2 linked regions of the Oryctolagus cuniculus genome follow. The protein of the gene in region 1 purifies or fractionates together with the protein of each later gene. This does not show direct contact. Links are inferred from orthologs where the notes say so. Each region holds a gene or a part of one and is shown on either strand. Other genes may lie near its edges.

Region 1 (4,504 bases):
GAGGCGGTGCCGGGGGTCAGCAGTGAAGCTGAGAGCCTTCAGGGACGGCCACGTTGGTAGAAGCCTCTGGAAGATGAGAAGAAGCCGCCGGTTCAGTGGCAGGAGGGGCAGAGGTGTGGTCACCATGGACTGTCCCACGGCGGTTATCCACAAATGCAGCTACAGTTAGGCTGAGCCTCTGTTCTCACCCCTAAGCTCCTTATAAATACTGTCTACCACCACCTGCTGCCCGGGGTAGGCGTGATCCCTGTCTTTCAAATGCCTCAGAGAAGCTGAAAATTTTTTTTTTATTTCAGCAGTTTCTAGTGAACGTTCGTATATAAGATTATTTATTCTTGCATCTCCTCAGTGGTTTCTTCCTTATATGTGCCCTTCTCCTTTCCTTTCCTTTTTTTTTTTTTTTTTTTTTTTTGACAGGCAGCGTGAACAGTGAGAGAGAGAGACAGAGAGAAAGGTCTTCCTTTTGCCGTTGGTTCACCCTCCAATGGCCGCCGCCGCCAGGTGCTTCTCCTGGTCTCCCATGGGGTGCAGGGCCCAAGCACTTGGGCCATACTCCACTGCACTCCTGGGCCATAGCAGAGAGCTGGCCTGGAAGAGGGGCAACCGGGACAGAATCCGGCACCCCGACCGGGACTAGAACCCGGTGTGCCGGCGCAGCTAGCTGGAGGATTAGCCTATTGAGCCACGGCGCCGGCCCCCCTTCTCCTTTCCTACTTGGTGAGACTTGGCTTTCTGTCTGAGGGTCTGTTTAGTTTTTGTCCGGCTTTAGCCCTAGTGGTCACCGCCTTGCTGGGGTGGATGCCCACGTGGACAGCTGTGCCACTGGCCTTTCCCCACCACACCCGTTGAACAAAGACGAAGTGTTTCTTCCTGTGCGCCTGGAGCACGTTCCATTGTCCATCCGATGGGCACGGATGGCGTGCTGCACTTCTGCCTTGGCCCTTGGAAAGAGGGGATGACAGAGCCTTCAGGCCCACGTGGGAAACGGCATGGAAATGCCTTTTTCAGTTCTTGCTCCCATGAGAAGTCAGAGGGCTTGAACTTCATTTTGGCCACTGCCACTCCGGCCATGGCTACCAGAGGGAAAAAAGGGAGTCATCTTTTAAGATCAGTGCTAGGCTGTGGTTTGAATCTGTCCCTGTGCCCAGGGCCTGACCTCTGCCCTCGCACCCCTCTAGTGTGTGCATGTGGTCATCTCCCAGGGTTGGTTGTGAGTGCCCCGGGCCAGGCACTTTTTTGTTTGTCGTGTGTCCCTAGTATGTGCAACAAGGTTGGGCAGGAAGTAGGTGCCACTTAAATAGTTGTCAGATTAATTAATAATGCCTTACTCAGTGTGCGATGCTAGCGCCTAGCCCAGGGTTGTGGTGACAGGTGCCTACTGAATGAAGAAGTGAGACAAGCTAAATCGTGAGGGAAACAAGCCATTGTGTGTGTGGTTGTTTTTTTTTTTTTTTTTTTTTTTAAGATTATTTTATTTGACCGGCAGAGGTACACACACTGGGGGGTGAGGGAGAGGGAGAGAGAGCGAGAGCGTGATCTTCCATTGGCTGGCTCACTCCCCAAATGGCCACAACAGCCAGGGCTGGGTCAGGGCAAATCCAGGAGGCTGGAACTCCGCCTAGGTCTCCCCTGTGTATGGCAGGGGCCTAGGCACTGGGGCCATCTTCTGGTGCCTTCCCAGGTGTATTAGCAGGGAGCTGGATCAGAAGTGGAACAGTCGGACTTGAACCGGCGCTCAAATTGGGTGGCTGCTACTCCACAACACATCCGTGTTTGTCTCCGTGGCTGTGACGTTGATTTTGGTCTTTTCCAGCAAGATGCCCCGGTCTCCTTTCCTAAAGGTCATCATTCCTCAGTGCTGAGCTTTTCTCCAGCAAAGGGAGCCGAGAACTGGGACAGGGCAACGTAGGGCGCTACCCCGCCAGATCTAACTCTGTTCCCTCTTTAATTTCAGGAGTCGGAAGATCCAAATCCGGAATATTCCACCCCAGCTCCGATGGGAAGTGAGTGTCCTGGGGAAGCACTCAGTGGTGGGGGTGGGGCCGGGGAGGTAGTGGAGACCTGAGTTACTTTGGGGGGCCAGGCTGGCACGTGTCCCCTGGGCCAGGCTTGGTTGGGGGGTGTCTCCTCCCTCACTGGCGCTCTTTCTGGTCTCCCTTCGGTGTGCATCGCCAGGGAGGCGAGAGGGTGCTTCTGTGCACACTACCAGGTGTGCTTCCAGGAGGCCCCGCAGGCACAGCTGCAGGCCCGCTGGCCCCTGGCCGGTGTGGACAGCAGCCCTAGCACCTGGGAAGGGCAGACGGACAGGCGATGCCCAGTTCTTACCGCTCTGCGACTTCCTGAGTGCTTTGGGTGTGTGTGGGCTGCTGGGTGGCCGCCTGGCGAGGGTTCTGGGCGCTCAGTCCCTGTCTTCTCCACCCCGCAGGTGCTGGACAGCCTGCTGGCTCAGTACGGCACCGTAGAGAACTGCGAGCAAGGTGAGAGCGGGCGCCGGGCCTCGCTGGGTGGGCGTGGGTGGGCGTGGGTGGGGCTTGGGGGATCTGGACTTCACTTCCAGTGATCAGCTCCAGATCGCCCTGGGGTCCCTAGGGAAGACAGACAGACGGACAAGCAGCTGGAGTGATGCAGAGTGGGAAGCAGTGACGCAGGGACCCCCATTCCACCCCTCGGGCTCTCCCTGGAGCCAGGCATTTCCTGTGCTGGGGTGGTGCCCAGGCTCTCAGCCGACCGAGGTGGAAACAGTCCAGGGTCCCAGGCGCAGTGTAAGAATGGAAATTGTGTGTTCCACCCAAGCGGGCCACCCTCTGACCCTCAAAGCCCCCGTGTTTCTTGTTTTAGGGGGTGGATTGTCCACAGGCTCCTTTTTTTTTTAAAACTCTGGTTGGCAGCTCCATAGGTCTTTGGTCAATTAATGAAAATGCAGAAGATGTAGTCTGACTGGCAGTCTAAATCTAAAGATTTATCTAAAGATTTCTTCTTTAAAAAGAGTGGGTTCTCAAAAGGAAAAATAATAAGGAAATTTAACGTTCTAAAAAGTTTGCTAGGATTCCTGAGTTTTCTCTGTTATTAGGATTACGAGTTCTTTTCAGAAACAGAGAGTCTAAATAAAATAGGGAGTGGTTTGGCTCACTGTAAGGTGGTCTTTAGGCAAGATAGTTTAGATTTGAAGATCTTCAAAGCAATAAGTGGGTAATCGCTTGGCCCAGGATTGAAATGCCCAGCTCAGCTCTTCGTGGGGTGCACGTGACGAGCGACTGTGAATGATCGAGTCTTCGCCTGCCCACAGGAGTGGGGGGGGTCTGCGAAGCAGGTGTCTTGTGTTTGCCAGACACAGCCGAACCCACTGCAGCCCAGTGCCTGGGACTCACAGTGCGGATTAATGAGTTACTCCGGGACAAATAGTGTGATCGCGCTGTGGCCAGGGGGCAGGAGCCGTGCACAGGAGCTTAGCCAGGGAGCAGTGCGGTGGGGGTGCCTGCCGCCTGCAGAGGAGAGTAGGGAGGGGCTGGGTTTTGTGGGACAGTAGAACAGGGAAGGTCCTCAAGGCTGTGCCACTGTCCCCTTGCGTGGGAGGTCATTCTGTCTGCCCTGCTCTGCCTCGCCCTCTCGATCCAGGTGCCCACCTCTCCGTAGCACCGAGCACTTTGTGGTCTCGGAGAGGATTTGCTTACTTATGGTGCTTTCTGTCTCCGCCTCTCCTGGGGGTGGCACTCTGCACCCCAGGCCTTGGCAGGTTACTCCTGGGGGGGAGCCTTTGCCCTGGAGGTGGCTGAGCTGAGCAGGGGGATCGCCAGGGGCTTGGAGCAGGGCGCCCAGCTTCACAAGACACTGCTGTGTAAGACAGGATAAAGCTTGCTGAAACGAGAACTATGTGGCTGAGTTACTTGAAATTCTGTTTATTTTATTTATTTGAAAGGCAAAGTGACAGAGAGGGAGAGAGATCTCACATGGCCTGCAGCAGCTGGGCTTGGCCAGGCTGGAGCCAGGGACCTGGGACTCAGTGTGGGTTTCCCAGGCTAGTGGTGAGGGTCTAGGTGCTTGTGTCACCTGCTGCCGTCCAGGGTGCCCTTTAATAGGAGGCTGGAGTTGGACGTGGAGTTGGGATTCGAACGCTGGGTATTCCAGTTTGCAACGTGCATGTCTCAGGTAGCATTTTTTTTTTTTTTTTTTTTTTTTTTTTTTTTTTTTTAGATTTATCTATCTATTTGAAAGTCAGAGTTGCACAGAGAAAGGAGAGGCGAGGGGGGAGTTGTTCCATCTGCTGGTTCACTCCCCAGTTGGTCACAATGGCTGGAGCTGTGCTGATCCAAAGCCAGGAGCCAGGAGCCTCCTCCAGGTCTCCTATGCAGGTGCAAGGACCCAAGGACCTGGGCCATCTTCCACTGCTTTCCTAGGCCATAGCAGAGAGCTGGATGGGAAGTGGGGCAGCCAGGTCCCAAACCAATGCCCATATGGGATGCCGGCACTGCAGGCGGTGGCTTCAGCTGCTATGCCACAGCGCCGG
Region 2 (4,593 bases), on another chromosome or scaffold:
TTCTAAACACTTAAAAGTTTTACTGGTAAGCCTGATAGGAAGCACTAAGCACTGTTTAAAAAATAAATGTTGTGTCCTCCCCTAGATACTCAACAGATTTTTCCTCAGATTAATTTTAATTTCCAAATCTCCCAGGCTGTAGTAACTAAAATATAATATATAACGTTTCCACTGTACCCCTGATCAAGCTTCAATGAAAACCCACAAGAATGAAATAACAATGTTACAAGTCAAACTAGAAACTGTTCAGGACAGAAATTTGAAAATTACGTAACAATAGCAAATATTTATAATACTTCTAGGAGAGATCTCCTTTTAAACAAGAAAAATATGAACACTTATTTTGATTTCACACTAGTCACAAAACTTAAGATTCCACTCATAATTACTAACAATGTGCTGTTTGTAAATAGAGCAGATGGGGACTCTGGAAAACAATTCTACAAAGATTCTGAAATCAAACATCCTTCGCTTAATACTTACTGAGACGGCATTTATTTACACAACCAGCTAAAGAAACTTTGGGAAGCTTCATGGTGCATTACTGTGGTTTAACTTTGACACAAAGCTCCTGCCTATTTAAAGGGGCCTAGCAGGTAGGTCTCCACCAACAAAGGGATAGGAAATCTGTCTTTCTGATGGCTCTTCAATTAGTCTTTCATGGCTCAAGAGTTACTTTTGCACACAGAGAAGCAAGGCCACATTTGGGATTTGACTTTGAGAGCGGGACAGCACTGATCAAAACTAGCTCAGCTGCTAGTCTTTTCCCCACTGCACAGTAACCAAGTAATCTGTTCAGAGATGAGAAGCCAAGCAAACAAAATGACAACTGATTCTTTTAAAAGCACATTTTAGGAGCATTCTGGTAAAAGTCAAAATCTCTAACACTGTGATACGATGTTTAAGATTTGCTTCAAAACAATACAGTTTGGGGGAGGAGGTACAAGACTGCTCTTAACTGTAAGTTAATCATTGTCAGAGCTGGGGCTCTCACACTGGAGCCGGGGTTGCCTGCCCCTCGGCCGAGGGCCAAGGAGGCAGCACATGATGGAGCACGCAGTCCCCGACACCCACGTGGCAGCCTGGCCCAGGCCCAGCTGTGCGTGCGGCACCTGCGGAGTGAACCAGCGGATGGAAGCTATTTTTTTAAAAAAAACTGCCGAAGTTGAGCGACAAACACAATACCTAAGTCGTCTAGTCAATTTTCATGTATTTTCCACAGTGAAAAGTTTAAAAACAGCTTTATGTTACCCACTGCAATATTAAAACTTCCCTAGCACAACTTACCACAAGGTAGCAGAAAACATGCTTTTTACTGTTTGCAGAGTTGTCTGTTTAGCTGTTTTTAAAACGTCAAATTTTAAATCAGAAGCAATGTGACACTGTGTCAGAAAATTCTAGAAAAACCTAACAAGGAAGCCACTTTGCATTGAGAGATGTAAATCAAAACATTTTCATTTCTCTAAGGAAACGGACTAAGACAAGCCGAGGTCTAGGCGGACGTCTGCGGCGCGCACACTCCGTTTTCTCTGTCCTAACTCGAAGCTGAGCACCTCGGCGGCCGCAGCTCCCCAAGGACCGGCACAGCCGCACCACGCAGCCCAGCATTAGCAGAACTCGGTGCGCCCGTCCCCAGACGGCCAAACCGCTGCCTCCACACCCCGGCTGTATTTTTAGTTTCTGCTTCAACAAGTAGCAACGTAAGCAGAGGTCCCTTCCTGCAAAACCGTACTTCGACTCCGTCCGCCCGCTTCTAAACAAAAACACGCGCAGCACGGCAGCGCGACCCCAAAGCCCTCCGCACGGCCAGAGAACAGGGGCAGGCGGCTGGGACGCGCATCTGCGCGCGAACAGCCGAGAGCCTGCACCCACGCCGACGCGGCAAGGCAGGGGCACGGCCCCGACCCCGAGGACAGGCACGCTCGCCCAGCGCCGTCCGTCCACCGCCCTCGGCCCCGAGGACAGGCACGCTCGCCCAGCGCCGTCTGTCCACCGCCCGCGGCCCCGGCCCCGAGGACAGGCACGCTCGCCCAGCGCCGTCCGTCCACCGCCCCCGGCCCCGGCCCGAGGACAGGCACGCTCGCCCAGCGCCGTCCGTCCACCGCCCCCGGCCCCGACCCCGGCCCGAGGACAGGCACGCTCGCCCAGCGCCGTCCGTCCACCGCCCCCGGCCCCGGCCCGAGGACAGGCACGCTCGCCCAGCGCCGTCCGTCCACCGCCCCCGGCCCCGGCCCCGGCCCGAGGACAAGCACGTCGCCCGGCGCAGGGGCAGCGGCTGCCAGCAACTTTCCTAGAGGCGGGACGACCACGGGGAAGGCGGACCCGCGGCTGGCGCGCAGGGGGTCCGGCCCGGGCTCGCCCCCTTCCAGCCCTGAGCCCAAAACAATGCCCCCGGCGCCGGCGGGGGCCACGCCGAACACCGCTGCCTCCCCCACTCGCGCACGGGCAGCGAGGCAGCTAGGTAGGTCAACTTCTGTCCACTCGCCCCACTAAATTACACCTTCCTATCACGCCAATCAATCATGCAGGCGGTTTATTGGGGACACGCTGTGGGTCTGGCGCTCCGATAAGCGCTTCACACGCCCCATTTCCCCGAACCTCCGCAGCCAGAAAGCGGCAGGACGGTCTCGGCGCCCCTCTCCCCAGCCCACACAAAGAGTTGAAGGGGCCGCGCCGGGGCCGGACACCTGGGCCGTGCCCGCCGCACGACGCGGACGCTCCGGACCCCGAGGGCTGGAGAGGGGACACCACCAGCCCGGCAGGAACTTCGCTGTCCCCGCGCGCCCGCCCAGCGCAGGGCGCCAGGCACCTGTTCCCGGCCCCGGCGAGAAAGCGGCGGCGGGGCTGGGGGCGCCGGAGGACCCGCCTCTCCCCCACCCCGGGCAGGCCCCGCGGGCGGGACGCAGGCCCGGGCCGGGGGGAGGAGGCCGGCGCGCGGCCCGCCGAGGCCTAGGCCCCACCCGCCGCCCGCCGCCCGCCGCCCCCCGCCCCGTGGCCGCCGCGCCCGCGCGGGCCCCGCCGCGCTCGGCCGGCCGCCTCACCTGGCTGCTGCCCTCAGCTCGCCCCTCGGCCGGCGGTCCTGGGCGGCGGCGGCGGCAGTGGTGGCGGCGACGAGGGGAAGGAGGAAGGAAGAGGGAGAGGAGGAAGGGACGGCGGGTGGGAAGAGGCGGAGTGGCTGCGGAGGAGGCGGGCGCCGCCGCCGGGCCGGGGGGTCCAAGAAGCGGGGAAGCCGAGAGAAGAAGCGACGGCGGCCGGCGCAAACGCTGAGGAGCCGCTCCGGCGCCCGCAGCCCGGCAGGAAGTGACGGGGGAGGGGCCGGCGCCCGCCCCCGGCCCCCGCCCGCCTCCAGGCCCGGCCCCACCCCCACCCGCGGCCCAAACCACAAGTCCCGGCGGGCGCTGCGGCGGGGCCGGCGCCCGCAAGGCACACCGGGAGCCGGCAGGCGGGGCCTGGTCGCGGCGAGGTGGCCGCCGCCCGCCCTGGGCCAGCGGCCTGCTGGGAGTTGTAGTTCTGCCGGGCCCCGAGCGGGAAGGCGGAGCGCGTGCCTTCTGGCCTCCCGCACTTCCTTCTTCCTTCTCTCAGTCCGTCCTCTCGTCTCGCAGGTGTCGTTCCCTTCGCTCCCGCCCTCAGGGCCTCCTTCCTCCGCCATGTGCGAGGCGCTGCCCCGAGAGCTAAGAACGGAACGGACAAACGCCCGTGCCCTCATGGAGCTTACGTTCCAGTGCGGATAAAAGGCGCGAATAAAATCATTAACTTGCTAGGTGCACTGAAAGGCAAGATAGGGGCCGGCGCCGAGGGGAGCGGTCAGGCACCTGCGATGGCAGACTCTCTCCTTCAAATAAATAAAGCTTAAAAAAACAAACGAAAAGATGATGTGGCTGTGCGCGTTAGGACCCCAGGGCTCCGCCTATCACTTCCAGGCCGACTTTCTTCTGTTTCCGTACACTGACAGCAAGTGCCCACTCTAACAGAAACAGCAGTGTAATTTTAGATGAGAGCCAACTTTTCACGGGGACTTTATGCGCTCTGCCCATTCCTATATAACTTATCTTGCGGGAAGGAGCAGGCAGAATTTGGAGTAACATCTCCAGTGCTCAGTTTCTTATTTCCATCTTCATCCTGAAACAAAGAAAAATAATTCCTTAATTACTTGGCAACAGCCCAGAAGACTTGAGGCCTTTGGGAAAAAAGATGTGACTGCCAGTCCCTAAGTACAAAAAGAAAAACACGTCTAAGGCTCCCCTCCCACACCCAGCAGCCCCACGACGAACCTGTGCCTTGGTTAACACAGTGGTCCTCAAATGAGCGCTGTGGAGTGACTGTTCGCGCTGTTTTCCTCTTCTTCCTCTCTGTCTTTGGTTTTGTTAGTTTTTAACGGCTGAACAATTTCAACACATAGTAACCTGGCTTTGTGACCTCTCTCCAAAAATGAGGTGGCCAGGCAGCATCGGAGAGCAACAGTCCAGCCACACTTGGGCTCCCACAGCCCACATCAGGGGGCCTGGGTTCGAGTCAGCTCTGCTCCTGCTCTACCTCCCAGCTAACGCACCGCGGGTCATAGCTCCAGCACCTGCGTCTTTACCACCCAGCTGG

What was found. Proteins that work in one complex are often made in the same cells at the same time.
Region 2: the proteins of IGF2BP1 (region 1) and STAU1 purify together in Homo sapiens (affinity purification with mass spectrometry; 3 studies listed by BioGRID and IntAct, with this or other methods). This does not show direct contact. The link is inferred for Oryctolagus cuniculus from reciprocal best matches to the Homo sapiens genes IGF2BP1 and STAU1.

What each region holds. Positions count from the first base shown.
Region 1 is NC_091448.1:25,209,968-25,214,471, forward strand, and holds part of IGF2BP1 (insulin-like growth factor 2 mRNA-binding protein 1), read left to right. Parts: intron 1-1,954; coding exon 1,955-2,003; intron 2,004-2,425; coding exon 2,426-2,477; intron 2,478-4,504. UniProt on the Homo sapiens protein: RNA-binding factor that recruits target transcripts to cytoplasmic protein-RNA complexes (mRNPs). This transcript 'caging' into mRNPs allows mRNA transport and transient storage.
Region 2 is NC_091442.1:11,270,783-11,275,375, reverse strand, and holds the start of STAU1 (double-stranded RNA-binding protein Staufen homolog 1), read right to left. Parts: upstream 3,303-4,593; 5' UTR 3,042-3,302; intron 1-3,041. UniProt on the Homo sapiens protein: Binds double-stranded RNA (regardless of the sequence) and tubulin.